Linked DNA regions of Stegostoma tigrinum. The protein of the gene in region 3 binds, or shares a complex with, the protein of the main gene of each other region. Links are inferred from orthologs where the notes say so. Each region holds a gene or a part of one and is shown on either strand. Other genes may lie near its edges. The genes, in order: rbmx2, snrnp40 and bud13.

Region 1 (9,782 bases), on a different chromosome or scaffold from region 3:
AGCCTTAGTGACCTTACCCATAGATACGGGATCAACTTTGAAACATCTACAGATGATACCCACTCCCTCATGCAGTGAAGGACTGGCTTTTTGCTACCTGTTTGCAAACAAGAAAGCCCTAAAGCTAAGGGAAGATGCAGGCAAGGCAGCATTCTGGAGCCACCTGATTACAGATTTTCAGTTTCCTATAAACATCGCATTGCTTTCACCTTGTGATGGTAAAGAGGTATGATCAAGGATCACAGAATCAGCTGCTTGTACTCACTCACTGCTCATGAGATCTCAGAAGATACATGTCCTTTCCCCGGACACGAAGCCAAATTTTATTTAACTCCTTATGAGGGGAGGTGGTTGTGCAGTAATCGGTTGGCACAGACTAACCCATATGCTCTGAGGATATGGGTTCAAATTTCACTTTGGCAGATGAAATTTGAAGTAAGTGAAAAAGTCTGGAAGAAAAAAAATATTCAAATGCTGTCCATATACTATTGCCAACGGTCTTGAAAATCCATCTGGTTCACAATAGACCTTTAGGGAAGGAAAATCTGCCATCTTCCTCCATTCTAAACTATATCGATTCCAGATCCACAGCAATATAATGGGCACTCAAACGCTCTCTGAAACAACCAAGCAAGTTGTATCGAACTTCTATAAAATTTGATTAAAAAAACTCACGCATTCCTTTTATTTGTTCATGGGGTGTGGCATTGCTGGTAAGGACAGCATTTATTGCCTATTCCCAATTGGCCTAGGAATGTAGTGAGGAGATTTATTTTTTACTCAAGTGGAGTGTGCACATTGCTGACTGGCCATTATTTAATGCCTATCCCTACATTATTTCATAAACTAGTAAGGTTGTAGGCATATTACAGTTCTGTTAGGAAGTAGATTCCAGGCTTGTGACCCTGTAACGGTGAAGCAATGGCATTACATTTCCAAATAAGGATATTGTGTGGTTTGGAGGGAAACTTGCAGTTGACAGGGGTCCCATGAATTTACTAACCTAGTCGTTCTAGGTGATAGAAGTTGCCGATTTGGACGATGCTCTCAGAGGAAACTTGATGAGTTACTTCAGCGCTTCCTCTCGATGGTCGATACTACTGCCATTGTGCAAGCAGTAAATGACAGCAGTAAATGTTGATGGTGATGAATGGAATGCCAATGATGCATGCTGTTTCATACTGTCTGATGTCAAGCATTTTGTTGTTGATACAAACTCAAAAAGACAACTGGAGAGTATGTCATCATATTCTCTGCATAATTCCTAGCCTCTGACCCACTCTTGTGGCCACAGTATTTACTGGCGGGCCTGTTTTACTTTCTGGTAAAAGGTGACTCCAGGGTATTGATAGTTGGCACTTAGAGATAATTCCATTGAAAATTGGATCCTCTCTTGCGGAAGATGGTCATTACCCTACATTTGTGTGAAGTGGTCATCACTTACCACTTATCTGTCCATCCCTGGATATTGTTAATATCTTGCTGCATATGGACACTTCGGTATCCGAGATATGGTGAAAGATGCTGGACAGTGGAGCACTGATGATTGCACATCAGTGCATATCCCCAGCTCTGACCTTGTGATGGAGCAAAGATTATTGATGAAACAGCTGAAAAATCATTGGATCTCAGACACCATTCTCAGGAATTAGGGCTCTTGTGGTGCAGTGGTACTACCCTTATCTCTGAACCAGGAGTTCCAGGTGCAAGTCCCGCCTGCTCCAGGGATATCTCTGGACTGATTAAAAATATTTAGAAAGGAAGAAAGACCTTTATGCTCTTTGGTAGCTCTTGGGCTGCAGTGGAAGTGACCCTGCCGCTAGATCAGAAGGCCTGGGTTCAAGTCCTGCCTGCTCCCAAAGTACATAATAACATGCCTAAACAGGGTGATTAAAATATTTATCCTCAGGAATTCAAGTCCCACCTGCTCCAGAGAAATACATAATAACATTTCTGAACACGTTGATTAGAAAATATCTAGCATTAGGAGTTCCTGCAAAAATGCCCTAGGGCTGTGATGTTCGCTGTCTAACAACCATGACCATCTTTCTTTTTCCTGGGTATAACTGTAATCAGCAAACAAATGCCATCTTATTCCTACCGATTCCAGGTTTTCCAAGGCTCCTTAAAGCCCTACTTGGTCAAATGCTGTGTTTATGTCAAGGGCAGTCATTTTTACCTCACCTCAACTCTTTTGTCCGTGTTTGGACCAACCTCGTATTAAGGTTGAAAGAACTGTCGATGCTGTAGATCAGGAACAAAAACAGAAGTTGCTGGAAAAGCTCAGTAGGTCTGACAGCATTTGTGAAGAAAAAAATCAGAGTTAACGTTTTGGGTTTGGTGACCCTATCTCAGAACACTTTTGAGGTCAGCAGCTGAGTAATCCTGTTGGAGCTCAAACTGAGAATCAGGCAGTTGTTTAACTAGACTGTGGAACAATGACAAAGGCATCCATCTTAAGATCTAAGCTCTACAGTCCGCTGCATCCAGTTGTGAATGGTGGTGGACTATGTAACAATTCACTGGAGGCGGCGGCTCCACAAAGATCTCTATCTCAATGATTGGGAACCCAGCAGGTCAATGTGAAGGCTTAAGCATTTTCCTACAGTTTCAGCCAAAAGTGTCTAGTGGATGCTCTATCTTAGCTTCTTCCTGAGGTCCCCAGCATCACAGGTTCCAGCTACATCCAGTTCAATTTATTCCACATAATGGCAAATAAAAACTGGTCACTGGACTCTGCAAAGGTAATCGGTCTGGACAACATTCGAGCAATACCACTGATGACTTACGCTTCAGAACTAGCAGCAACCCTAGCTAAGCTCGTACACTGCAGCTACAACATTGGGATCTATCCAGCAATATGTATAATTTCCTGATTACATCCTATCCACAATAAGCAGGACAGATCCCACTCAACAATTCCATCCCATCAGTCTATCCTCTAACGAAAATACAGAAAGCACCATCACCACCTGTGATTTCAAGCAGTACTTACTCAACAACAATTTGTTTACTAGACTCTCAGCTTGGGTTCTAACAGACCACTCTGTTCCTGACCTCATTATAAATTAAGTCAAAACAGCTGAACTCCAGAGGGGCAGTAAGGGTGATTACCTCTATATCAAAGCAGCATTTGACTGTGTATGGCATTAAGGAGCCACAGTAAACTGGAGTTCATCAGAATTGGAGGGGGAGAGGGTAACTCCCTGCTGTTTAGCACACAGGAAGGTGGTTGTGTTGTTGGAGTCAATCAACTGAGACACGGGAGTTACTCAGGGTAGTGTCCCAGACCCGACCATCTTCAACAACATTCTCTCCATTGTAAATGTCAGAAGTGAGATCCTTCACTGATGACTGCACAATTTCTGCACCATTTGCAACTCCTCCAATACTAAAGCAGCCTCTGTCCAAATACTGCCTGTTTGACTGCGACCGCATCTAACACCTTCAACATTCACTGCTTTTACCAGCGACATATAATTACAGCAATGCGTACCATTTACAATTTGCATTTGCAACAACTTGCCAAACTGCTTAGACTCTACCTTCCAAACCCTTGATTTCTATAATCTAGAAGAAAAAGGGCAGAAAATGCATGGGAACACTACCACCCACAAGTTCTCTTTCAAAACACACAAAATTCTGATTTGGATATGAGCTATTCATTGTCATTGGTCAAAATCCCGAATAGATATCTCATCAGCACAAGGATGGGCCAGAGGAAACACCAAGGAGCACAGTAGTTGAAGGTTCACTGCCATTTTCTACAGGGCAACTGATGCTTGGTAGTAAATGCTGACCTTGCCAGCGATTCCCTCATCCCATGAATTAATAAGAAAAGCATTTTACATGTATTGAAAAGAAAACAACATATTCTATCAGAGGAAATTTCCATAGCTTACATTCTGATTCTGCAAACAATAATAAAAAAAATGAAAAAAAACTGCAGATGCTGGAAATCAAAATCAGAAACAGAAACTGCTGGATAAACTCAGCACATCTGGCAGAATCTGTGGAGAGAAATCAAAGTTAATGTTTTGGGGCCAGTGACACTTCCTCAGAACTGAAATTCTTCTCTCCACAGATGCTGCCAAACTTGCTGAGTTTTTCCAGCAATAAATTAAATTAAATTAAATTAAATTAAATAACTTAAATATATTATCCTCAAGTGGATATTTGGCCAAGCTGGTATTTGTAACATTGTTGGGTTGAGTGCAGATGACTACTCAGTCTTTCCCAGACTACATGCACTTACATAAGTGTCATTTGCAATAGACTTTGTCCAGTTGATCTAATGAGAGGCAAGATCATCTGATTTGGGTGCAAACTGTATTCGTTTCAAAATAAAAGAAGTCTTGAACAGAGTTGAGGCTACTTTTCACTCGCATATTAAATGGTAGGACAGAACTGTTTCCAGCATTTTCTAGAGCTATTTTGAATTTCTACACATTTGCTTTCATTTTAGTTTACAGTCACTTCCCTTCCACAAATGCCTAGTTTGAAGAAGCTCACGGTTTTCACCACTGGGTTTACGGTTGTCTCTTTTATTTTGTTCACCACTTCTCCCAAGCTCAGTAATTCATCTTGAAAATGTTCCAAAGGCCCTCTAAATCAGTGCAGAGTGTTGTTTTGCTGGCCAGACGAGCTGAATCCTAGTTCAATAACCCGCATTTTTATTATGCTCCTCAAATACTGTGAAAATCCATGAAACTGCTTCACAGGCTACAGGAAATGATAATGGGAATGGGAAGGGAAACTGGAAACATAAGGAGACAGAAAGGCTTTTGGGAGATTGTTGAAAGAAAAATGTCAAGGCACGGGGTGATGCAAAGGACAAAAATACAGTGACTGACAAAGCAGCAGCTACCATTTCATTCACATTTATGGTCATGCCAAGTTATTAACCTTTCCACGGTTTTATTAACGACTGATTCGTTTCACGTTGAAACTTCAGTTGGCAAACAACTCAGATACTTCTGGCCACATTTTATTCCGATCAAACCACTGTCATTAACCGTCTTTAGTGTTTTACTTAAATAATTCCCAAGAACTAAGAGTTGGTGCTGAAAGCAGGTTCCTTTCTTTCAGGAACGGTGGACATTTTAAATAAAAAATCCTGCCACTGATCCTTTACCACCTTGAAGTAACTCAGAGAAACCTCTTACCTGTCCATACCGGACAGGTAATTTCCTCCCTTTAGTGATGCTGTTTGTTAAACCAGCAACTACATCAATTTAATCGCCTACTCACTTCATTTCGCAGTAAAGTCCCAAATTTTACCACAGCAGCTCCTCATCCCGGATAAGGGCGGAAGGAGAGGAGCAAGAAGGACCGCAACAGGAAAGTGGAGAACTCCGCACACACCACCACCTACTGACGCACGCCACCAATCACACGCTGTGATCGAGATTTCGCTTGAATTCTCAATGTCGGAAAACAATACGCAATTTGGCTACTTGAACAAATGCAGATAAATGCAAATTATAAAATCTGATTAATCCACTGTATTGGAAATGCATAATTGTCATTTGTTCTGACAAAAGGTCATCAACCTTCGGAGAATTTTAATCCCAGTACATGCGAGGATGAGGTTGTCTGTCATTGGGGATAGTGAAAGAAACAGACATTTTTAACACATCCAAGCTGGTTTTCCTTAATTAACTTTCAGTTGTCCCAGTGAGCCGTAACCTTGTCATGTCTGAAAGTTTTGTCATCACCAAGATTAAAATGACTGGATTGAGCTCTTGCGGTGTGGTGCTCGTGCCCCTACTGGGGCCAGGAGCTCAATGTTTTAAGTTGCACGTAGTAAACAGAGGTGTGTCATGATATTTCTGAACAGGCTGATTAAAATATTTAAAGAGACATTCCTGTAGTTGCAATTCTTGTACTGTTTCTTGAACAATAACTTTTGCAATTCTCTAGTCCTCTTGCTTCATTGTTCTACATCTCTGTAATTTTGATGCAAATTTGTTCTCTATATTTTTCACTTTAGTGTCTGATAGAATACATCCAACAATGTAGTGGTACTAAAACAAAAGCTGCTGGAAAAGCTCAGCAAGTCTGGCAGCGTTCTGAGGAAGGGTCACCGGACTTGAAATGTTAACTCTGTTTTTCCCTTCACAGATGTTGTCAAACCTGCTGAGCTTTTCCAGCAAATTTGTTTTTGTTTCTGATTTACAGCATCCGCAGTTCTTCCAGTTTTTATTTGGTATTACTATTGTTTGTTAGCGCTAACAAAATAGTTTCTGTCCTGAACACTTTAGGAGATCCTCTCCCTCTTTTGACACTACGATGTTCTCCTTAATCAGTACAACTATTCCTCGATCTATCTTTCCTTCCCTCTTTTTCCTGAATGCCTCGTATTGGGGATTATTAATACCACACTCTGCCTTTTATTATGCCAGACCTCTTGTTATCACTAAAACATCATATTTCCATGTGGCTACCTGCAACTGGAGCTCACCTGTCTTATTTAGCATGTTCTAATACATTCTTAAAAGTAAATATAGTTTAGACATTAGCACATTTTCTCTCACCCACACCCAAACTAACACCATTTTTCACTCTAATGCTATTTGTCTCTCCTAATCCTCTATATATTTTGATCTTCCTCTTTTATGTCACCTCCTGGTTCCCACACCTCTGCCCAAATGGTTTAAATCGTCCCCAGCAGCAGCAGTAGCAAATAGGCCTGTAAGGACATTGGTCCTGACTCTGTTAAGGTGCACAGGTCACACCTCGCAAGAACCAGTCCCAAAGTGTCAGATATCCAAAGCCCTTCTTCCTGAACCATCCCAGCAAGCACGCTTCAGGCAACCATAACCCGTAAACTCCTAAACAATAGTTTATGTTACTGGGAATAATTTGCAAATTACTACCATTGAGCTCCTGCTAGCTGGCTTCTTTCTAAGATCCCTAATCCATTCTGGAGGACATCATCCTTCTTTCTTACTTACATCCTTAATACTGATAGTAGCCATAAGAGCTGGCTATTTGTCCAGCACGTTCAGAGTGTTTTGTAGCCATTTAGTGATACCCTTGATCTTGGTGCTGAAGAGGCAATTTATCTTGCACTCTTGTCTGCAGCCAGAAAAAAATTCTGTATGTTCCAATAGCTATTGAATCCCTGATGTCTAATGCTTTTCCAATATTCTTCCTGCTTCTCCTGTCGTGTTGAGTAAGCTTGGTAGCAAGGACTAGAAGCTGGCTGGACACACCAAAGGAACCATCATTCATATAACATTCAAAATAGAGAGAGTTTGCCCAAATTGAACTGCCTCCTTGGATAATCTTCACTATCTGACAGTTATCCATTCCTTCTCTGCTTGCATACCTTAAGATTGCAGAGTGACCACATCTATAAATGTACTACACATAAACCCCTCAATCCTGCAGTAATACCTGCTGCTGTTCACACTTGAAAACATGCAGTTTCAGCTGCTGCTGCCACTGAATTCAGTCTTGCACATCTGGTTATCTTGGATTCAAGAATTGTGGACACTCCACAGGTCTGAGCCACCCTGTTAAGTCTGTTTTTTTTAAATCAGATATTGAGCTGACTGATTAAATAAAAAATAGGCATTCACCAACAGCTCAGCAATCACCTACCTCTCTTGTTAGTAAAGTGATTGAAGATTTAAATATGCCTTCTGGTTATAACACCCAGCACAATGTTGTCTCTTGTTATCTAAAATTCCCTGATGTCAATGAGATAAAACCATGAGGATAATGAGAAGGTTGCGAAATTAACAAGATGGAAAGCTTTCAGGTTCTGATATGTCTTTCTATTTCTTCTTCACTCCAACCATCTCCTCTCTCCCCTCATCCCCACCCACTGTAACTGTGGTTAACAGGAGGTGTCAACACTTCTATTTTCCCACTTGCCCTCTGACCAAGAGCTTTAATAAGCTACTCCTTTTCCTATGTTTCTACCACTGCTAATTTCTCCACCTCCCACGTAACACCACCAACAAGTAAATCTTTCCTTCCCTTTCCTCTTGTAAGGGCTGCCCTCAACTGGGACCTAGTTCTGCTAAGAATGTCTTTGGGTAGATATAACCCTGCTTGTAATACTAGACCACAGGACTCAATAATATTAAATGGTTAAGGGTTAACCACCAATAAATCTTTGGCAGACAAGAATGACAAGAAATAGTTTATTACATACTGAGAGAACAGTGCCGGTTCTTTCTGGAAAAAACTTTTATCTTATACCCAAAACTATAAGAAAATATTGACTCTCAAAATATACTTCCATTAGAACAACATTTTTAGATGATGAAATACATCCTTTATTACAGCAGCGGCTGGTTAATCAAATTAGATGTGGTAAGAGACATAGATATCTCCTAAGAGGAACAGCAATTCATATGCCGTTTGGGAACTCTGCAGCCTAATGGTATCAATGTGGATTTCAACAGCTTCAAAATCTCCCCTTCCCCCAATGCATCCCAAAACCAGCCCGGCTCGTCCCTGCCTCTTCAACAAGAACTGACTTGCTCTTCACAGAGACAATTACTGAGATCCTGGTGGGTGGAGCGATACAAATTTTTGAAGGTTAAACTTTTCATGCCAATAATCATATATGATATCTCCCTCCCAGTTTTTCCCTCCTTATTAAACCCGGTATATTATTGTTTAAATAAGCACATCAAGTTTACTACTATTTCTTCTCCCATCAAGTCTCTGACTTTACAAGTTTATGCCAACTTGAAGAAATAGGTGATTTTCTTCTTCACAAAGAATGTTGAAAGTTAATATCTAGAAAGGCTAGTGGGTGTTATATTTTGCTGTGAAGGCATATGAATATTGACACTGAACCACTATGATGCCCAGAGTTTCTTTGATTTCTTCAAAATGTCTGATAGAACTTAAGTATGAAAAGTAGTCTTATCCTTTCAAACTTGTTACAAGGTAAATCTGGTTGAATGTCTCCCAGCCTATCATATTGCCTTTTGGTTGCCGAGATTTCTTTGTTGTTGATGAATTTAGAACCTGAGTATTCTCTTGTTTGTGGAGGATAAGAAACCAGCTCTTAAAACTTTGTGATAATGGGAACTGCAGATGCTGGAGAATCCAAGATAACAAACTGTGGAGCTGGATGAACACAGCAGGCCAAGCAGCATCTCAGGAGCACAAAAGCTGACGTTTCGGGCCTAGACCCTTCATCAGAGAGGGGAAGGGGAGAGGATTCTGAAATAAATAGGGAGAGAGGGGGAGGCGGACTGAAGATGGATAGAGGAAAAGATAGGTGGAGAGGAGAGTGTGGGTTGGGTGGTATGGAGGGGATAGGTCAGCCCGGGGAGGATGGACAGGTCAAGGGGGCGGGATGAGGTTAGTAGGTAGGAAATGGAGGTGCGGCTTGAGGTGGGAGGAGGGGATAGGTGAGAGGAAGAACAGGTTAGGGGGGCAGGGACGAGCTGGGCTGGTTTTGGGATGCAGCGGGGGAAGGGGAGATTTTGAAGCTGGTGAAATCCACATTGATACCATTAGGCTGCAGAGTTCCCAAACAGAATATGAGTTGCTGTTCCTGCAACCTACGGGTGGCATCATTATGGCACTGCAGGAGGCCCAGGATGGACATGTCGTCTAATGAATGGGAGTGGGAGTTGAAATGGTTCACGACTGGGAGGTGCAGTTGTTTACTGCGAACGGAGTCTGGGTGTTCTGCAAAGCGGTCCCCAAGCCTCCTCTTGGTTTCCCCAATGTAGAGGAAGCTACACCGGGTGCAGTGGATGCAGTATACCACATTGGCGGATGTGCAGGTGAACATCTGCTTGATG
Region 2 (9,782 bases), on a different chromosome or scaffold from region 3:
CCTTGACTGGGACTCATACTTGTCTGGCATCCCAAATTAAGCCGCTTCAGCTAGAGCGCAAGTTAGAGCATTAGGACAAAGTTGTTCCAGTTTGTTGTTCTCATGTGCCACACTGATGCACCAGGAGTCTTCGGGCCAGTTGCAGTTTTGAGGTGCAGCCACTGCTATATTGTAGGGACAGATGGCAGGAAACTTACGTGAAGCAAGTTTCCCAATAGTAACTAGTTAATAATCTGATAACATGGGTTTGAGGTCAAGGGGTTAAAAAAAATCCACCAGGAACTCTCTGACTCATCTTCAAAACATTCACCTACATGGACATATGGGACCTGATTTAATGTATCATCGAAAAAGATAAACCGCTGATGAACGCAGAATCTGCTTAGTGCTGCACTGAAGCATTATTTAGATAATAAGTTCAGGTTTCTGGAGTGGAACTTAAACCCAAGACTTCCAGATGTCAGAGTGCTTCCTCTACATTGGGGAAACCAAGCAGAGGCTTGGGGACCGCTTTGCAGAACACCTACGCTCAGTTCGCAATAAACGAATGCACCTCCCAGTCACGAACCATTTTAACTCCCCCCTCCCATTCCTTAGATGACATGTCCATCCTGGGCCTCCTGCATTGCCATAATGATGCCACCTGAAGGTTTCAGGAACAGCAACTCATTCCCGCTGGGGAACCTTGCAGCCCAATGGCATCAATGTGGATTTCACAAGTTTCAAAATCTCCCTTTCCCCTCCCCCACTGTATCCCAAAACCAGCCCAGCTCGTCCCTGCCTCCCTAACCTGTTCTTCCTCTTACCCATCCCCTCCTCCCACCTCAAGATGCACCTCCATTTTCGACCTACTAACCTCATTCTACCCCCTTGACCTGTCTGTTCTCCCCGGACTGACCTATCCCCTCCCTACTTCCCCACCTATACTCTCCTCTCCACTTATCTTCTCCACCATCCATCTTCGGTCTGCCTCCCCCACTCTCCCTATTTATTTCAGAATCCTCTCCCCACCCCCCTTTTCTGATGAAGGGTCTAGGCCCGAAACGTCAGCTTTTGTGCTCCTAAGATGCTGCTTGGCCTGCTGTGTTCATCCAGCTCCACACTTTGTTATCTTGGATTCTCCAGCATCGGCAGTTCCCATTATCTCTTTTGACTATTCATTTCAAATCTGCTGGTAACCAAATAACCAGTTCTTCACAAGTCGGCTTCAAACAATGATCCTAAAACTCCTTCGCTCATCAAATCCCAAGTTAATGGAAGTACTCTGTCTAGCAGTACTCTGGCAAAGCAATCTTCGCCCAGCTTATCCTGGACATAAGCAAAATCCACTGCATTTATACCAGCTGCAATTCCAAAAACCTGAGACAGGAACTGTTAACTAGTTATACGGCCATGGAGTCATACAGTACAGAAACAGACTGTTCAGTCCAACTCGTCTGTGCCGATTGTGTGTCCTAAGCTAATCTAGTCCATTGGCCAGCAGTTGTCTCATATCACTCTAAGCTTCTCCTAATTGTGCATCCATCTTGATGATTTTTAAATGTTGTAATTGCACCCACCTCCACCACTTCATCTGGCAGTTTGTTGCATACATGCACCACTCTCTGCATGAAAAGGTGCCCCTTAGATCTCTTAAATCCTTCCCCTCTCACCTTAAACCTAAGTTCTCTAGGTGTGGACTCCCCTTCCCTAGGAAAAAGGCCTTGTCAATTCACCCTATGCCTCATGATTGTACAAACCTCTCTAAGGCCACCCTTCAGCATCTGATGCCCTCGGGAGAAAAGCCCCAGGCTCTTCCTATCCTGACATCTTTGTTAACCTCTTCTGAACGCTTTCAAACTTAACATATTTCCTACAGCAGGGAGACCAGAATTTAATGCAGTATTCTAAAAGTGGCCTCATCAATGTCCTGTACAGCTGCAACGTGACGTTCCAACACCTATATTCAACGCACTGACCAATGAAGGAAAAATGTGCCAAACGCCTTCTTCACCACCCTGTCTACTGGTGACTCCATTTTCAAAGGAAATATGCACCAACACCTCTACGTCTTTTTGTTTGCCGTCACTCCCGAGGGCCCTATCATTAACTCTACAAGTTCTGTTCAGATTTGCCTTCCCAAAATGCAACACGTCATATTTATCTAAACTAAACTCCTCCTGTGACTCCTCTGCCCATTGGCCTATCTAATCAAGGTCCCATTGTATTCTGAGATAACCTTCTTCATTGCCCACTACACCTCCAATGTTAGTGGGATCTGCACATTTACTAACAATATCTCCGATATTTACATCCAAATCGTTTATGTAAGTATCAAAAAGCAGTGGACCCAGCACCATTCCTTACGGCACAGCACTGGTCACAGGCCTCCAGTTGGATAAACAACCCTGCAACACTACTCTCTGTCTGCTATCTTCAAGCCAATTTTGTATCCAATTGGTAAGCTCCCTCTGGATTCCACGTGATTTAACCTTGCTAACCAGTCTGCCTGTGGGACTTTGTTGAAGTCTATGTAGGCAAGGTCCCCCACTCTGTCTTCAATCTTCTTTGTCACTTCTTCAAAAAAACCCATCAAATTATGAAACACCATTTCCCATGCACAAAGCCATGTTGACCGTCCCTAATTAGTCCTTGCTTTTCCAAATGCATGTAAACCCTTTCCCACAGAATCCCCTCTAACAAGTTGCCCACCACTGATATCAGGCTCACTGGTCTATAGTTCTCTGGCTTCACTATCGCATCCTTCTTAAATAATGGCACCACATTAGCCAGCCTCCAGTATTCTGGCACCTCACTTGTGGCTATCAGTGATACAAATATCTCAGTAAGGATCCCAGCAATCTCTTCCCCAGGTTCCTAATGTTCTAGAATACACCTGATCAGGATTTATTCACATTTGTGTGTTTTAGGACATCCAACACCACCTCTATGATATGGACACTTTAAAATATCACTATTTATTTCCCCAACTTCTCTAGCTTTTATGTCCTTCTCCACAGTGAATACTGATGCAAAATACTCTGAGTATCTCATTCATCTCCTGTGGTTCCACATATAGATGGACACATTGATCTTTAAAATGCCTGATTCTCTCCCTAGTTACCCTTTTGCCCTTAATACATTTTTAGAACCTCTTTGGATTCTCCTTAACCCTATTTGCCAAAGCTCATTCCTGTTCCCTTTTTGCCTTCCTGACTTCCCTCTTAGGTATACTCCTACAGCCCTTAAACTCCCCTCGGGATTCACTCAATCCCTGCTGTCTATACCTGACATATCTCTCTTTAGTTTTCTTGACCAAAAACTCAATTTCTCTAGTCAGCCAGCATTCCCTACATTTACCAGCTTTGCCCTTCGCACTAACAGGAACATACTGTCTTTAAACTCGTTATCACATTTTGAAAGACTCCCATTTTCCAACTATCCTTTACTTATGGCTCGCCTTTCCCTATCAACTTTTGAAAGTTCCTGGCTAATACCTAATAATTGGCCTACTCTAGTTTAGAATTTTAACTTTAAGATCATGCCTATTCTTTTCCATAATTATTTTAAAACTAACCGAATTATGATCACTGGAACCTCAGTCACCGATCCTACTTCCCAAGAGAAGATGAGGTGTTACTGCTTGTCAAGCAGGTACATCCACATACGGAATAAGAAAATTTACTTGTACACACAAAGTTCCTCTCCAAGTTCTTAACACCATGGCAGTCCCAGTCTATGTTTGGAAAGTTAAAAGCTCCTACCATGACAACATTATTATTCTTACAGATGTCTGAGAACTCTTTTTTTTCCAGTTTCCCACTGACTATTGGGGGAACCTATAGTACTTCTAAATATATTTTAATCAACCGCTCAGACATGTCATATCACACCTCTGGAGCAGGTAAGATCTGAACCTGGGGCATCTAGCCCAGAGGCAGGGACACTACAAATCTACCATGGTGTACTCAACTGACAAATTCATTGGGTCTGACAGCATTTACTAAGTTAAAAAAATCAGAGTTAATCAGTTCTGAGGAAGGGTCACTGGACCCAAAATGTTAACTCTGATTTTTACTTCACAGATGCTGCTGGACCTGCAGAGCTTTTCCAACAACTTTGTTTTTGTTCCCGATTTACAGCATCTGCAGTTCTTTTGTTTTTAAGACCAATTCATTGATTGGGTGTCAATTACAGGCATCCTGTTTATCACTGACTGACTAGTTATTTTCAGTTTTGTTATTAAAGTTAAATGGGATAAATGAGGGAGTACACCACTCTGGGAAGTGCGGGTAAAAATATTAAACCAAAACCTCATCTCCCTGCTCAGGTGGATGTAAAAGATCCCTTCACAATGTTTTAAAAATGAACAGGAGGGTCTAGGCCCGAAACGGCAGCTGTCCTGCTCGGCTTGCTATGTTCATCCAGCTCCACACCTCACTATCTCGGGTTATCCTCAGTGCCCTGGTTGAGGTTTATCCCTCAGTCTACATCAGGGCTATGGGGAGACGTTGAAGGGAATGGCTCTCCTCCAGAGAGCCAGCACTGACAGAATGGGCCGAACAGCCTTCTCTGATCGCTAGTGGGAGTGAGTGTGAGTGGCCTGCCTGCTTTTTTTTTTCCCTTTCTCTCTCTCCCTCCGTCCCGGGCCTCACCGCCTGCTGCGGAACCCCTGGGACCGCCTCGTTCCTCGGCCGCTTGGTCGGAATCAGCGCCATTTCCTGCGCCTTGCGTTTCTGATCGATCATCGTCCTCGTCGATGTCTCCGAACTCCCGACGGCAAGTCCCTCTCCCAAACTGAGCGCCTTCAGCTAAACGATCTGACCCCCCCCCCTCGCACCCACCTCTCAATAACACGGCCCCTCATTACTCAGCCGTCCGGCTTAGCCCCTCCTTATCGCGTCTTCTATTCGCTACCCCCGGTGTCCATTACCACTGAGGGGGCGCGACCCATGGAGATCCGCTAACCGATTTGCTCAGGGCGATGTCACTCAGTCCAGGCTGAGTAAGGCTCCTCGCAATTGGCTACCTGTCGAAGCTCCAAGATGGCATGGCTTCTGAGGTGTGGGGTTTATTCATTTGCTTCATTATTTTGATTTTCGGTATGACTTATCCAATGGTTTAATGTGAGAATTAGTTTGTAAATGGTATCTATAAAGTGTGATATGTAGGTACAGGACACGAGTTGGCTGAAACAGAAACAAATTGCTGGAGGAACTCAGCGGGTCTGGCTGTTTCTGAGGAGAGAGAAAGCAGAGTTGGCGCTTCGGGCCCACTGACACTTCATCAGCACCTCTTCCCCATAGAAGCTTTCAGGCGTGTGGAGTTACTCCGGCAGTTTATGTTTTTGTTCCAGATTTCCAGTATCCGCAGTCCTTTTCATTTTTACGTACTGCAGGCTCATCAGCAACTCCGGCAGGAGCCCCCACCCCACTGCTTTGAAAATATCAGTGCACCGAGACTGCAGCTCCACCACAGCGTGTGTTCGGTCGAGGGCGAAAGGGCTCTGTCTCTCCGCCTGGTCTTCCAATGCAACGTGGCGGTGTCCTTGCACATTTATAGCCTAGAAATATAGCCCCCACACAGTGTAACTGCCTGTGTTCGCAGAGAAACCTGCTTGTGTACACAGGCGTCATTGATAGTTTCTGTATTCAGAGGCATTCTCTTTCTTCTCTTCAGCTGCTGTGCCCTAAGAGGACTGGAGAACACGTTAATGTATATTTTGATTTATGTTGGCCCATGATGATGCTTGTCGGAGTACCGCAATTGTCTGCTGTCACTTTCTACAGTTTTGCTGATCAGGAGCTAACTCTTTGCTGTCAGGCATATTGAAAAATATTCACAAGTTTGTACTCAACAGATATGACTACACTGAAACTGAGGGCAATTTCTGGAGTCGTTGTGTGCAGAATTTCACAGAAATCTGTAAATTATTGTTGTAATTCTTAATTTCCCCATCGGGTGTGCTGCTGGGTTACCACTTCTGCTGAAATTACTGCTATCAGTTTGAAATGTTATGAACTAATGAGGACACAAACTCATATACTTTCAGTCTCATTGTAAACTAAACCCTATTAAAGATATCAGCCTTTGTTTCATTGAGACATGCCTGGTTTGAATGTTCTTTCTCCCCACCCCCTTGTTAAACTGTTTTTGGATGCTTAAGGCTAAAATGGAGCCAAATTTTTTTGGAGCATTTTGATTTGGTTAACAGAAGAAGGGCTGAATCTTCTCATTCCAAACATATAAGATTGTCAGGCTGCAGAAATAATCCTGAGTGAGGGTTTTGGCTTAGATGGTTCCAATTAAGGATTACCAAAATTTAGAACAACCTGAGAATTAGTTTATATGCTCATTGCAATTTTAAAATAAACATGATTTTTAGCAGCTGGGGGACACCACCATTGCAAATTCTCCCCTGGGCTGCACACCATCATAACTTGGAAGTATACGTGCCACTACTTCATTGTTGCTGGATCAAAATCCCGGAACTCCCTTCCTATGTACCTAAATCACATGGACTGCAGTTGTTCAAGAATGTGCAAACTCCATACAGGCAGTTGCCCGAGACTGGAATTGAACTTGGGTCCATGTTGCTGTAAGGCAGCAGTGCTAAACACTGAGTCAGTGTGCCCCCACACATAGTATGCATTTGTTTCCCTTACGGTTACCACTAGTAAATGGTGGCACAGCGGTTAGTACTGCTGCCTTGCAGCTCTAGGGACCTTGGTTCAATTCCATCCTCAGGCAACTGTCTGTGTGGAGTTTGCACGTTCTACCTGTGTTAGCATCCTCTGGGTGCGCTGGTTTCCTCCCACAGTCCAAAGATGTGCAGGCTAGGTGGATTGGTCATGCTAAATTGTCCATAATGTTCAGGGGTTTGTACATTAGGAGGGGGATGGCTTTGGATGGGTGCTCTGACGGTCAGCATGGACCGTTGTTGGGCCAAAGAGCCTGTTTCCACACTGTAGGGATTCTAATATGAAGCACTCATTCTGCTGATGACGTGATTTGCAGATGCAACACTTTTTTTCTTCATGTACATTGTACAATATTCATGCACATTCACAATATAGCCTCAACTAATGGGCTGCACACCTTTCATTGCTCATTTTCAAAATATACATATATAAAGGAATACCATCTGTTCACTTGAAAGTTTCTTCCATGTAGACTGGAACTGCATTTTTAAAGATATGTACTTTGAGGACTTTTTCAGCAATTTTAGCCTCCACCTTTATACCACTATTGGAAGGTATAGTCTAGATTAACAGTGTGAACAAACATGGTAATAGTTATTCAGATTTCCCTGTAATTTCTAATGATTGGTTAACCGGTAGTTTTACTGCATTGGTGTAACAGTTTTATTTCCAGATCAGAGTTTGCAATTTGGCATAACTGTCAGTCTGCAGTGTCCCTCCTGGGCAATTCTGTCTGCCGACAACCATGCTATTAGCTCTCAGGTAGCTGAACAGCCTGTGGGGGGCCTATACTCTTCAGTGCTGGGCTTACTATCCTTCACACTGGGCCTATATTCTACCCCGCTGGGCTTACTATCCTTCACACTGGGCCTATACTCTTCAGTGCTGGGCTTACTGTCCGTCACACTGGGCCTATATTCTACCCCGCTGGGCTTACAGTCCTTCACACTGGGCCTATACTCTTCAGTGCTGGGCTTACTGTCTGTCACACTGGGCCTATATTCTTCCCTGCTGGGCTTACTATCCCTCGCACTGGGCTCATACTCTTCCCTGCTGGGCTTACTGTCCATCACACAGGGCCTATACTCTTTCCCACTGGGCTTACTATCCTTCACACTGGGCCTATACTGTTCGGTGCTGGGCTTACAGTCCATCACACTGGGCCTATATTCTTCCCTGCTGGGCTTACAGTCCATCACACTGGGCCTATGTTCTTCCCCGCTGGGCTTGCTGTCCTTCATGCTGGGCCTACATTCTTCCCTGCTGGGCTTACTATCCTTCATGCTGGGCCTACACTCTTCCCTACTGGGCTTTTTCGAGGTTCACAAGGTCTACTGCTGATGCCATCCGAGCTTAAGAGGTAAGTAAGGAAAATGTAAGATAGAGAAAGAAACAGGAGAAGAGAAAAGAAAAGAGGACGGTCTAAAAGACAGATAAATTAGGGTTTTTTGCCTATTTTTATAAAATCTCTAGCTTTTGTGACAACTCTGGGAATAATGGGTCTTAATTTTTGGCACCTTTGTCAAGGGATATAACAATTTCTAAAGGTTGAACATTTGTGATCAATTATTTCAGTTATCACAACATGCTTTCAGCAAAGAGGTAGGGTACAGTGGACTATGCGGAAGCAGAGAATTACTGAGCAACTTCTGGATTTCCGTGTTCAGCTGCACATGTGCAATTACCACAGATGGACATTGCATTTACAAAAGTAATGAGTTTGAAAGCTGATGCATTTTCTGTGGTAACATTCGTATGCTGTCGCCCAATGTCTCTCTCACTAGTTTGGCATTTTCCCCCGCATTGTGTAACTGTGAAACACCTTTGGTGGGGGTTGGGGGGGGTTGTAGTTATACTAGAGACACTACATAAATATGGAAATTGCTGGAAAGACTCAGTAGGTCTGGCAGCATATGTGGAAAGAGAAAGAGATTTAATGTTTCAGGTCAAAGATCTTTCATGAATTAGTGATGCAACATCTCTACACAAATTCTACCAAATCAGTTGTAAATTTCTCGCATTTATTTTGATTTCCAGCATCTGTTGTACTTTGCTTTTGTATTTAAACGTACATTGTTGTTGATTCAAAATAATGGCGGGCATTATTTGCAAATGTCATACATTGTTACTTTAAAGTCACAGATCTGAGACTGTAGCGTTGTATAGTTATGTTCCTTCATGCCTGAGAATGATATGTGAACCGTTACAGTTTACTCTCCCATTTTCCAGTCACCTACAAACACATCAAGAATTGACACAAAGAGGATCATGCTGGTAAATTATAAACATACAGACATTCACATTGTCAGCAAGCACAATTCTTTTTCCCTCAGAAATGCTGATTCCAACCGGCTGAAGTAACTGTTTGATCTATAGTACTGTTCTGCCAACCATGAGTGGTGTTAAGCTGAACTGTTACATTCACACCATCAGTTGGGATGCAGGACGATTAATAATGAATGCCTTTTGTTTCAGGGAACGATTTGCCAGAAATTGGTGGCAGTTAGCTTATAGTAATCCTTATAAATAAACTATTATTTTCAATAGAACTGTAATTTTTGAAGTTAATAATATGTAGCCTAATGAATCACTCATAACTTACATTCCATGATTTTACTGGATACATAACAACGTGCAGGAGAATGGCCTGGATTTTTCAGGAAGAAGGAACTTCTTTAAAAACACCAAAACATTTGACACAATGTACGTACTTAATACACAAATTAACTGTTTCACGACAAAGGCTTTGCTAAATCAGATTTGTACTGTGGTGCCAGACTCTTAGAGATTCCTTAGGAGGTGCCTTAATTATTATCACGCAAAGTGAGGTGGAATTCAGCTGGTAGCAGACCAATAGGTGAGGTAAACTCCAATTTTTCAATCCTAATTTTAAAACTCCATCTGGTACCTTAATATCGCTTAAGGAAGGAAATCTGCTTTTCTTACCTGGTCTCGCCTAGATATGACTCGAGGGCTACAACAATATGGTTGATTGAGGGTCTTTCAGCTATACCCAGCTTCTGCAGAAAAATCAAAAAAAGTTGTCATTGAGTGATGACATTTCTAAGAGAAGCCTTATTTGGGGTTGGGAAAGTGAAATGT
Region 3 (9,782 bases):
CAGAGTCAGAAGAGTGTGCAGCATTCCCAGCCGACGAAGAATCTGAGGAGTCGTGACGTTTACAATGAGCTGGTGATATGTCAGGGGAACTATTACGAGTTCTTCTAGGAGGCAGATCTGTAGATGTGATACGTTTCTCTGTGTTTTTAGAAAACCTTTTCCTGGGAGGTGAAAGGTCAGGACAATCATGACGCCCACTCCCAGGAGGTGAAAGGTCAGGGGAATTGTGACGCCCCTGCCGGGGAGGTGAAAGGTCAGAGGAATCGTGGCGCCTCCTCCTGGGAGGTGAAAGGTCAGGAGAATCATGGCGCCCCCTCCTGGGAGGTGAAAGGTTAGGAGAATCGTGGTGCCCCTGCTGGGGAGGTGAAAGGTCAGGGGAATCATGGCGCCCCCTCCAGGGAGGTGAAAGGTCAGGAGAATCATGGCGACCCTGTCGGGGAGGTGAAAGGTCAGGGGAAATTCTCCTCATTTTTCTCTCAGAAATCTGAGGTCCAGCTTCAATCCTTTTTCTTTGTGCAGGCACAGAACCTGGTATGAAACTAGAGAGAATAAAGAACATGTCAGTTTATCAAAATAAATAGTGCAAATTAAAAACTGCAAGTTCAATAACCATAAGATATTATTCCTTTTATTTTAGCTTTCCACCATCTGTTAACATCAGCTGGGCAAGATTCCCTTAATCTGGTAAAATACCTGCAAAAGCTTCCAAATAGTAACACACATCCACACACAGAAACCACATGTAATAAATCACCCAAAGCACAGAATTTGGTGAAGTCTACAGTACAAACTGAAGGAGTCTCATAACAGTGGTGGTGCCCTTACCTCTTGTCAATGAGTTCAAGTCCCACTTGCTCCAGAGTTGTCCCCACTAGTTACTGCCAATACTGATACTCCATTTCCTCCCAACCCTCTTCTTCAAACCTCATCAAATATCCTTCTGATCCTTCCTTCGTTACCCAGCTTCCCTTAAAATTATGGTCAGAGATAATGGGAACTGCAGATGCTGGAGATTCCAAGATAATAAAATGTGAGGCTGGATGAACACAGCAGGCCAAGCAGCATCTCAGGAGCACAAAAGCTGACGTTTCGGGCCTAGACCCTTCATCTCAGCCACTTTAAGTTTCACATTCTCAGCACTCACTGGGTAAAGAAATTTCTTTTGGTTTCGCATTTGGACATTGTAGTCACTGTTTTTAAATTTATAGTCCCTAGTTCTTGTCTATCCCATAATTGAAAACATTTTCTCTATATAGCCTGTGTTGTGAAGTTGGGTCCAGTACTTGTTGATTGAGCGGCAGGGAGATACATTTTGGTGTTTGTAAAACGTTAAAGGGGAAAGCACTGTGTGTTCCCTTTAAAGGGTGATGTGTTTTTTTCCGTGCTTACAGATTTAAAAATGGATGCCTGTGAGCAGCAGCTTGAAGTTTGCAAGTACAGAGAGCACCCGAACTGAAACATTAGTTTCGAAAGGCCATACAGTTAGCAGGCCAAGCAACAGTTTTTACCAACTCAACAGATGTTTGAATTTTGCCAATCAATTTGAACCAGGCACTTAGATACCAAAAACCAATTAATTTTAAATCTCAGAAATACAAAAGCTGACGTTTCGGGCCCAGACCCTTCATCAGAGACCCTCTCTGATGAAGGGTCTAGGCCTGAAATGTCAGCTTTTGTGCTCCTAAGATGCTGCTTGGCCTGCTGTGTTCATCCAGCTCCACACTTTGTTATCTTGGGTTCTCCAGAATCTGCAGTTCCCATTATCTCTAATTTTAAATCTGATGGTTTTGACAACATAGGACCAATTCTACTGTAAGAAATATTGATAAGTTATCAAGGATATAAAATAAAAGGGCAGTTGGACAAAGCTCCTGAGCTAAGTGCCATCTGCCTTAGTTAGGAGCCCTCAGCTCTCAAGAAAATTGCTGGCTCTCATAGCCTCCTCCATGTCTTAGAGAAAGCACCATCTAAATAACAACGGTAGCCATGGCACAACTAGTTAATATTCCTGACAGATGAATCTATGGTGAAGGCACAGAACATTCTGGAAGACACGTAACCTGGCTGTAATTTTGAGAGACTTTTTTTTATATACAAGTAGGACTTTTATTTATTGGAAAGCATACCATTAGAATCTTACTTTATTTGGTAATTGTTAGTAGTTAGAAGAGATTTATTCAGTTTGTTAATAGTTTAGTTAATTTGTTCACTTTTCGAGTTAGATAAATAAATTGTTAGTTGTTGACCTTAAAGTGAGTGTCAGGAATTTATTTTCTTTAACCACTAGAAACTGCTGAAAAGCAAGTCATACCACTTTTCATACTCCTTTTACAGATTATAAGGCAAGGTGCTCCTCTTTGGATGTTTCGGATTTAGCTCTCAGATGGGGGACAACGTCAGCTTTGCAACATCTGTAACCAAATTCCTTCACACAGATGACAGTGAGCATATTAACAACATAGCCACAGTTATATGCACTCACCCATCTCGACTTGTGTGTAGGAACACATCGGGATCTTGGGAATCTTCCTTTTCATCTTAATAAAAAGTCAAAAAACTAATGATGAATGCAACAACAATGACTTTCCCGTGTTTTATTTTAAATAAAGGATTGTTAAAAGAGTTGGATTGGGATGTAGCTTCCATCTTTTTCTCGTGTGTAGCGGAAAGGACTGGTTTCAGCTACTGATTTAGTTATCACTGAAGGAGACTAAATTCATTCCAGCGAGAACAGGCACAACAAATTTCTCTAACTATGTGGAGCAGAGGAGATGCAATGCTGAAGCAACGCTAAAACATGTTAGTGACCCACACAGAGTTAAAGCTTCCAGCTGCAGAAGCAGTGCTGTGTTAACAGCATCAAGACTGCAGCTCACTTCAGTGTCCTTATTGGGTTCCCGTTCCTAAGCACTATTCAGCAACCAGTGCTGTATTAAACCTGAACTGCCTTTTAAAGTAGCCCAGTGAGACAGTAAATATGTCAAGCCACTTCAGCAATTCAAAGGGGCAGCTCACTACCAGCTTGTCAGGGAAACTTCAGATGAACGACAATGCTAGCCCAGCCAATGATGCTTGCATCCAATTAATGTATTTATAACACAGCGGCCAACACAAATTCACTGCACAGAATGAAATGAGTCTTTTTAAAAAAGACGCCTCACGACTTACCTCCTAAAATTTTCCACTTATTGCTCAGGCGGAATTCCTCCATTTGTTGAATGATTTCAGGCCTTTCATCAATGAACTCTGCCACCTAAAGCAACAGGCTGGAGATCAACACAAAAGTATAATACAACAACAATCTGCATTTACATAGCCTTGTCATAGAGTAAAACAGCCCTAAATCATTCTCAGGAATGGTGATCAAATAAACCCTGACACAAGACATTAGGTCAATTGACCAAAAGCCTCATCATAAAAATTAGGTACGAAGTTTGGACCCAAGCAGTTTAAAGTACAGCATGATGTAGTGAATATAAACAATGATCATTTTAAATATTCACTGTCATGATTAGATTAGATTCCCTACAGTCTGGAAACAGGCCCTTTGGCCCAACAAGTCCACACAGCCCCTTGCAGCATCCCACCCAGACCCATCCCCCTATAACCCACACACCCCTGAACATTACGGGCAATTTAGCATGGCCAATCCACCTAACCTGAAAATCTTTGGACTGTGGGAGAAAACCGGAGCACCCAGAGGAAACCCACACAGACACGGGGAGAATGCGCAAACTCCATACAGACAGTCGCTCGAGGCTGGAATCGAACCCGGGTCCCTGGCGCTGTGAGGCTGCAATGCTTACACTGAGCCACCGTGCCGCCCCTCATCTATCACATTGAACTGTATATGGGCAAGTTCAGAGACTAAGGCTCCCTCTTCACTGTACCTACCAAAAAACCCCAGGATAGGTACGGAATGGAATTAGAAACAGAGTGATGCTCCCGCTACATTGTCCCTAATGAACACACTCTGGACAAAGCATTCAAACTCAGCCATAAGGTCAGTCATTTCCAAATACACAGCAAGACACTTTCCACAGCAGTCTCTCACAGAATCTTAGAGTACAGGTAGGAGGATTTATCTCCTTTTACCCGTATTGGGTGTATTAAAAACTTAGCTAATTTGTCCCACATCCTTGTTCTTTCCCTCATCATCCTGTAAAACCTTCCACTTTGAGTATTTATGAAATTCCCAATGAAAAGTTACTTTTAAATCTGTTTCCACCACCCAGTTGAAACTAGAACAACTTTCTGCACTAAAAGAAATTCTCCCATCACTTCTGACTCTTCTGCTCTCATGTGGAACTTATCGATTTGTTTATAAGCGAATGTTCAACAAGCATTAGGAAGACTGGGATTAGCTTTAGAGACTGGTCAGATGGGCTGGAAACCTTCTCTAGCTCTGAATTTTCTCCTTTCCAAATCACTTAACAACCTTCTTGTGGGGTTTTGGCAGTTCAATTAAAATGTCTTGTTGATACTGGGGTATCTTCAGCAGCAGTAACAGTAGTCACAGTGTTGAAGTCTTAATTAGTTATTTGCTGACAAATCTTAGAATCAGTCAGTCCTGAGAATAGCTATTTCACCTACCACAGGGGCTTCATCATCCTCATCCTCTGCTGCCTCTAATACAGCCTCTTTCTCCTTCTCCTTCGCAAGGGTCTTCCAGGTCACATCATCATCCACAATCCGCATTCTGTAATATAACAGGACAGAGGCTTTCAACTGACAGAACTAGACTCAACAGCATCCCTGATCTAAAACAGATACAGAGTAAAGTAACACTTCACATGATAAAAAGGGAAAGCTGACAACACCACAGATTACAAAAATGAGAGGGCATTGGAGAACTGCATCGTGGATAAGAAATTTCAATTGCACGAAGAGGCTGAGGACACTGGGGTCCTCCACTCTAAGAGTAAGGATGGTAAAGGGGTGTTTAGATAGAGCAGTAAATAACGAGAAAGCTTCTAGTGGCAAGAGATCCAGAAACCAGAGGAACACAAATTACACTAAGAGAGAAGGAACTGTATCAGAGGAGCAGGAAAGGTGATGTTTCAGGCCTAGGCCTCCCTCAGCCTCCCTGCCCCTCTGATGCTGCTTGGCTTGTTGTGTTCATCCAGCTCCACACCTTGTTAACACAAATTATAGCCATTACCACAGGTGAAACTTACTTTATAAAACAGATCGAGGTTAAACATTACAACATTGAGGAGAGAGGTGACGGGATAACTTCTTTAAAGATCCAGCACTGGGGCAATGGGCGAATGGCCTCTTTCTGTGAGGCATGTTATTAATAAACCTCAAGAAAAAGTGAACAATATTTAACTCTGTCACATAATGAACAACTGCCCATTAAAAGCAAGAAACCGTTCCCTTGTGAAAACTAACTTAAAACACGACAACGGAATTACTCCAAAGCTACAATGTAATTCTACAACGATGAGGCCACAGCAAAGTGTTGAATTATGAATTTCTCTAGCGCCTATCAGGAGCTCGGCTATAACGAGGTCCCGGGTGATCCGGTGATAATTTTACTGATAGTTTGGTGTTTGGTGCGAATGAGGTTCAGACCCGGCTCCTGCCGCCTGAGGCGTGCGGGAGGGCGGCCTCACCCGCAGGAAACCATCAGGCCTCAGGCCTTTCCACGTCGGGCTGGCCGCTTACGCTGCTCCCTGCGCGGGCCTCACCCTCCGCCTTTAATCTTCACCCTCCGCCTCCTCCTGGTCCGCTTGGGGCCCGGCTCCGAGCCGCTCAGGTACCGCTTCAGGTATTCCTCCTTACTCAGGCCGGCCATGGGATCCCCTCCCTCTCCCGGCGCTACCGGCCCGGCTCCTTCCTACCCGGACTCCGCTGGCGCTGCTTCCGCCGGCACCGAGCGGTCTTCACTCACCGGCCCCGCTCGACCGGCCCGGCCCCCGGCCCCCGGCCCCCGGCCCCCGGCGGGAAACCCGCCCGCCTCGCGCCGCCATCTTGGTGCCTCAAGCCGATGTCTCGCGGACAGGATGGTCACCCCCCCCCATCCCCCCCCACATCCAGCCCATCACCCCTCAAACCCCCACCCCCCCTCACATCCCCACCCCCCCTCACATCCCCACCCCTCACCCCCCATCCCCCCTCACATCCCCACCCCTCAAACCCCCACCCCCCCTCACATCCCCACCCCTCACCCCCCCATCCCCCCTCACAATCCCCACCCCTCACCCCTCACATCCCCACCCCTCACCCCTCACATCCCCACCCCTCACCCCCCCACCCCTCACCCCCCCATCCCCCCTCACCCCCTCACCCCCCCACCCCCCCTCACATCCCCACCCCCCCCTCACATCCCCACCCCTCACCCCCCCACCCCTCACCCCCCCATCCCCCCTCACATCCCCACCCCTCACCCCCCCATCCCCCCTCACATCCCACCCCTCACCCCTCACATCCCACCCCCACCCCTCCCACTCCCCCCCTCCCCTCACATCCCACCCCTCACCCCTCACATCCCCACCCCTCACCCTCACATCCCCACCCCTCACCCCCCCATCCCCCCTCACATCCCCACCCCTCACCCCTGCACATCCCACCCTCACCCCCCCATCCCCCCTCACATCCCACCCCTCACCCTCACATCCCACCCTCACATCCCCACCCCTCGACCCCCCATCCCCCCTCACATCCCCACCCCCCCTCACATCCCCATCCCCCCTCACCCCCCCATCCCCCCTCACCCCCCATCCCCCCTCACCCCCCATCCCCCCTCACATCCCCATCCCCCTCACATCCCCATCCCCCTCACATCCCCACCCCCCCCTCACATCCCACCCCCCCTCACATCCCCACCCCCCCTCACATCCCCACCCCTCACCCCCCATTCCCCCCTCACATCCCCACCCCTCACCCCTCACATCCCCACCCCTCACCCCTCACATCCCCACCCCTCACCCCCCATCCCCCCATCCCCCCTCACATCCCCACCCCCCTCACATCCCCACCCCCCCATCCCCCCTCACATCCCCACCCCCCCTCACATCCCCACCCCTCACCCCCCCATCCCCCCTCACCCCCCCATCCCCCCTCACCCCCCCATCCCCCCTCACATCCCCACCCCCCTCACATCCCCACCCCTCACCCCCCCATCCCCCTCAATCCCCACCCCTCACCCCCCCATCCCCCCTCACATCCCCACCCCCCCTCACATCCCCACCCCTCACCCCCCCAATCCCCCCTCACATCCCCACCCCTCACCCCTCACATCCCCACCCCTCACCCCCACATCCCCACCCCTCACCCCCCCATCCCCCCTCACATCCCCACCCCTCACATCCCCACCCCTCACATCCCCACCCCTCAGCCCCCATCCCCCCTCACATCCCCACCCCTCACCCCCCCATCCCCCCTCCCCCTCACATCCCACCCCCCCTCACATCCCCACCCCCCCTCACATCCCCACCCCTCACCCCCCCATCCCCCCTCACCCCCCCATCCCCACCCCTCACCCCCCCATCCCCCCTCACCCCCCCATCCCCACCCCTCACCCCCCCATCCCCCCTCACCCCCCCATCCCCACCCCTCACCCCCCCATCCCCCCTCACCCCCCCTCACATCCCCACCCCTGACCCCCCCATCCCCACCCCTGACCCCCCCATCCCCCCCCTCACCCCCCCATCCCCACCCCTCACCCCCCCATCCCCCCCCCTCACCCCCCCTCACATCCCCACCCCTCACCCCTCACATCCCCACCCCTCACCCCTCACATCCCCACCCCTCACCCCCCCATCCCCCCTCACATCCCCACTCACATCCCCACACCTCACCCCCCCACCCCCCCTCACATCCCCACCCCTCACCCCCCCACCCCCCCTCACATCCCCACCCCTCACCCCCCCATCCCCCCTCACATCCCCACCCCCCCTCACATCCCCACCCCCCCTCACATCCCCACCCCTCACATCCCCACCCCCCCTCACATCCCCACCCCTCACCCCCCCATCCCCCCTCACATCCCCACACCTCACCCCCCCATCCCCCCTCACATCCCCACCCCCCCTCACATCCCCACCCCTCACCCCCCCATCCCCCCTCACTTCCCCACCCCTCACCCCTCACATCCCCACCCCTCACCCCTCACATCCCCACCCCTCACCCCTCACCCCTCACCCCTCACCCCTCACATCCCCCCTCACATCCCCACCCCTCACCCCTCACATCCCCACCCCTCACCCCTCACATCCCCACCCCTCACCCCCCACATCCCCACCCCTCACCCCCCCACCCCTCACCCCCCCACCCCCCCTCACATCCCCACCCCCCCTCACATCCCCACCCCCCTCATCCCCACCCCTCACCCCCCACATCCCCACCCCTCACCCCCCCCATCCCCACCCCTCACCCCCCCCATCCCCACCCCTCACCCCCCCCATCCCCACCCCTCACCCCCCCATCCCCCCTCACATCCCCACCCCCCCTCACATCCCCACCCCCCTCACATCCCCACCCCCCCTCACATCCCCACCCCCCTCACATCCCCACCCCTCTCACATCCCCACCCCTCACCCCCCCATCCCCCCTCACATCCCCCCTCACATCCCCACCCCTCACCCCCCCATCCCCCCTCACATCCCCACCCCCCATCACATCCCCACCCCTCACCCCCCCATCCCCCCTCACATCCCCACCCCTCACCCCCCCACCCCCCCTCACATCCCCACCCCTCACCCCCCCACCCCCCCACCCCCCCTCACATCCCCACCCCCCCTCACATCCCCACCCCCCCTCGCATCCCCACCCCCCCTCGCATCCCCACCCCCCCTCGCATCCCCACCCCTCACCCCCCCCATCCCCCCTCACATCCCCACCCCTCACCCCTCACATCCCCACCCCTCACCCCTCACATCCCCACCCCTCACCCCCCCATCCCCCCTCACATCCCCACCCCCCCCTCACATCCCCATCCCCACCCCTCACCTCCCCATCCCCACCCCTCACCCCCCCACACATCCCCACCCCTCACCCCCCCATCCCCCCTCACCCCCCATCCCCCCTCACCCCCCCATCCCCCCATCCCCCCTCACCCCCCCATCCCCCCATCCCCCCTCACCCCCCCATCCCCCCTCACATCCCCACCCCCCCTCACCTCCCCATCCCCCCTCACATCCCCACCCCCCCTCACCCCCCCATCCCCCCATCCCCCCTCACATCCCCACCCCCCCTCACCCCCCCACCCCCCCTCACCCCCCCATCCCCCCATCCCCCCTCACATCCCCATCCCCCCTCACATCCCCACCCCCCCTCACATCCCCACCCCTCACCCCCCCATCCCCCCTCACATCCCCACCCCTCACCCCCTCATCCCCCCTCACATCCCCACCCCCCCTCACCCCCCCATCCCCCCTCACATCCCCACCCCCCCTCACCCCCCCATCCCCCCTCACATCCCCACCCCCCCTCACCCCCCCATCCCCCCATCCCCCCTCACATCCCCATCCCCCCTCACATCCCCACCCCCCCTCACATCCCCACCCCTCACCCCCCCTCACATCCCCACCCCTCACCCCCCCTCACATCCCCACCCCTCACCCCCCCATCCCTCACCCCCCCATCCCCCCTCACATCCCCATCCCCCCTCACATCCCCATCCCCCCTCACATCCCCATCCCTCACCCCTCACCCCTCACATCCCCACCCCTCACCCCCCCATCCCCCCCTCACATCCCCACCCCCCCTCACATCCCCACCCCTCACCCCCCCATCCCCCCTCACATCCCCACCCCCCCTCACATCCCCACCCCCCC

What was found.
Region 1: bud13 (region 3) and rbmx2 share a complex: the UniProt entries of both Homo sapiens proteins name them as parts of the activated spliceosome. The link is inferred for Stegostoma tigrinum from reciprocal best matches to the Homo sapiens genes BUD13 and RBMX2.
Region 2: bud13 (region 3) and snrnp40 share a complex: the UniProt entries of both Homo sapiens proteins name them as parts of the minor spliceosome. The link is inferred for Stegostoma tigrinum from reciprocal best matches to the Homo sapiens genes BUD13 and SNRNP40.

Annotation. Positions count from the first base shown.
Region 1 is NC_081368.1:47,499,767-47,509,548, reverse strand, and holds the start of rbmx2 (RNA-binding motif protein, X-linked 2), read right to left. Parts: upstream 5,456-9,782; 5' UTR 5,256-5,455; coding exon 5,251-5,255; intron 1-5,250. UniProt on the Homo sapiens protein: Involved in pre-mRNA splicing as component of the activated spliceosome. As a component of the minor spliceosome, involved in the splicing of U12-type introns in pre-mRNAs.
Region 2 is NC_081377.1:34,182,711-34,192,492, forward strand, and holds the start of snrnp40 (U5 small nuclear ribonucleoprotein 40 kDa protein), read right to left. Parts: upstream 4,806-9,782; 5' UTR 4,728-4,805; coding exon 4,635-4,727; intron 1-4,634. UniProt on the Homo sapiens protein: Required for pre-mRNA splicing as component of the activated spliceosome. Component of the U5 small nuclear ribonucleoprotein (snRNP) complex and the U4/U6-U5 tri-snRNP complex, building blocks of the spliceosome.
Region 3 is NC_081385.1:595,631-605,412, forward strand, and holds the start of bud13 (BUD13 homolog), read right to left. Parts: upstream 5,928-9,782; 5' UTR 5,801-5,927; coding exon 5,694-5,800; intron 5,635-5,693; exon of another isoform or gene 5,178-5,634; intron 4,701-5,177; exon of another isoform or gene 4,700-4,700; coding exon 4,594-4,699; intron 3,267-4,593; exon of another isoform or gene 3,254-3,266; coding exon 3,169-3,253; intron 2,538-3,168; coding exon 2,483-2,537; intron 540-2,482; coding exon 1-539. UniProt on the Homo sapiens protein: Involved in pre-mRNA splicing as component of the activated spliceosome. As a component of the minor spliceosome, involved in the splicing of U12-type introns in pre-mRNAs.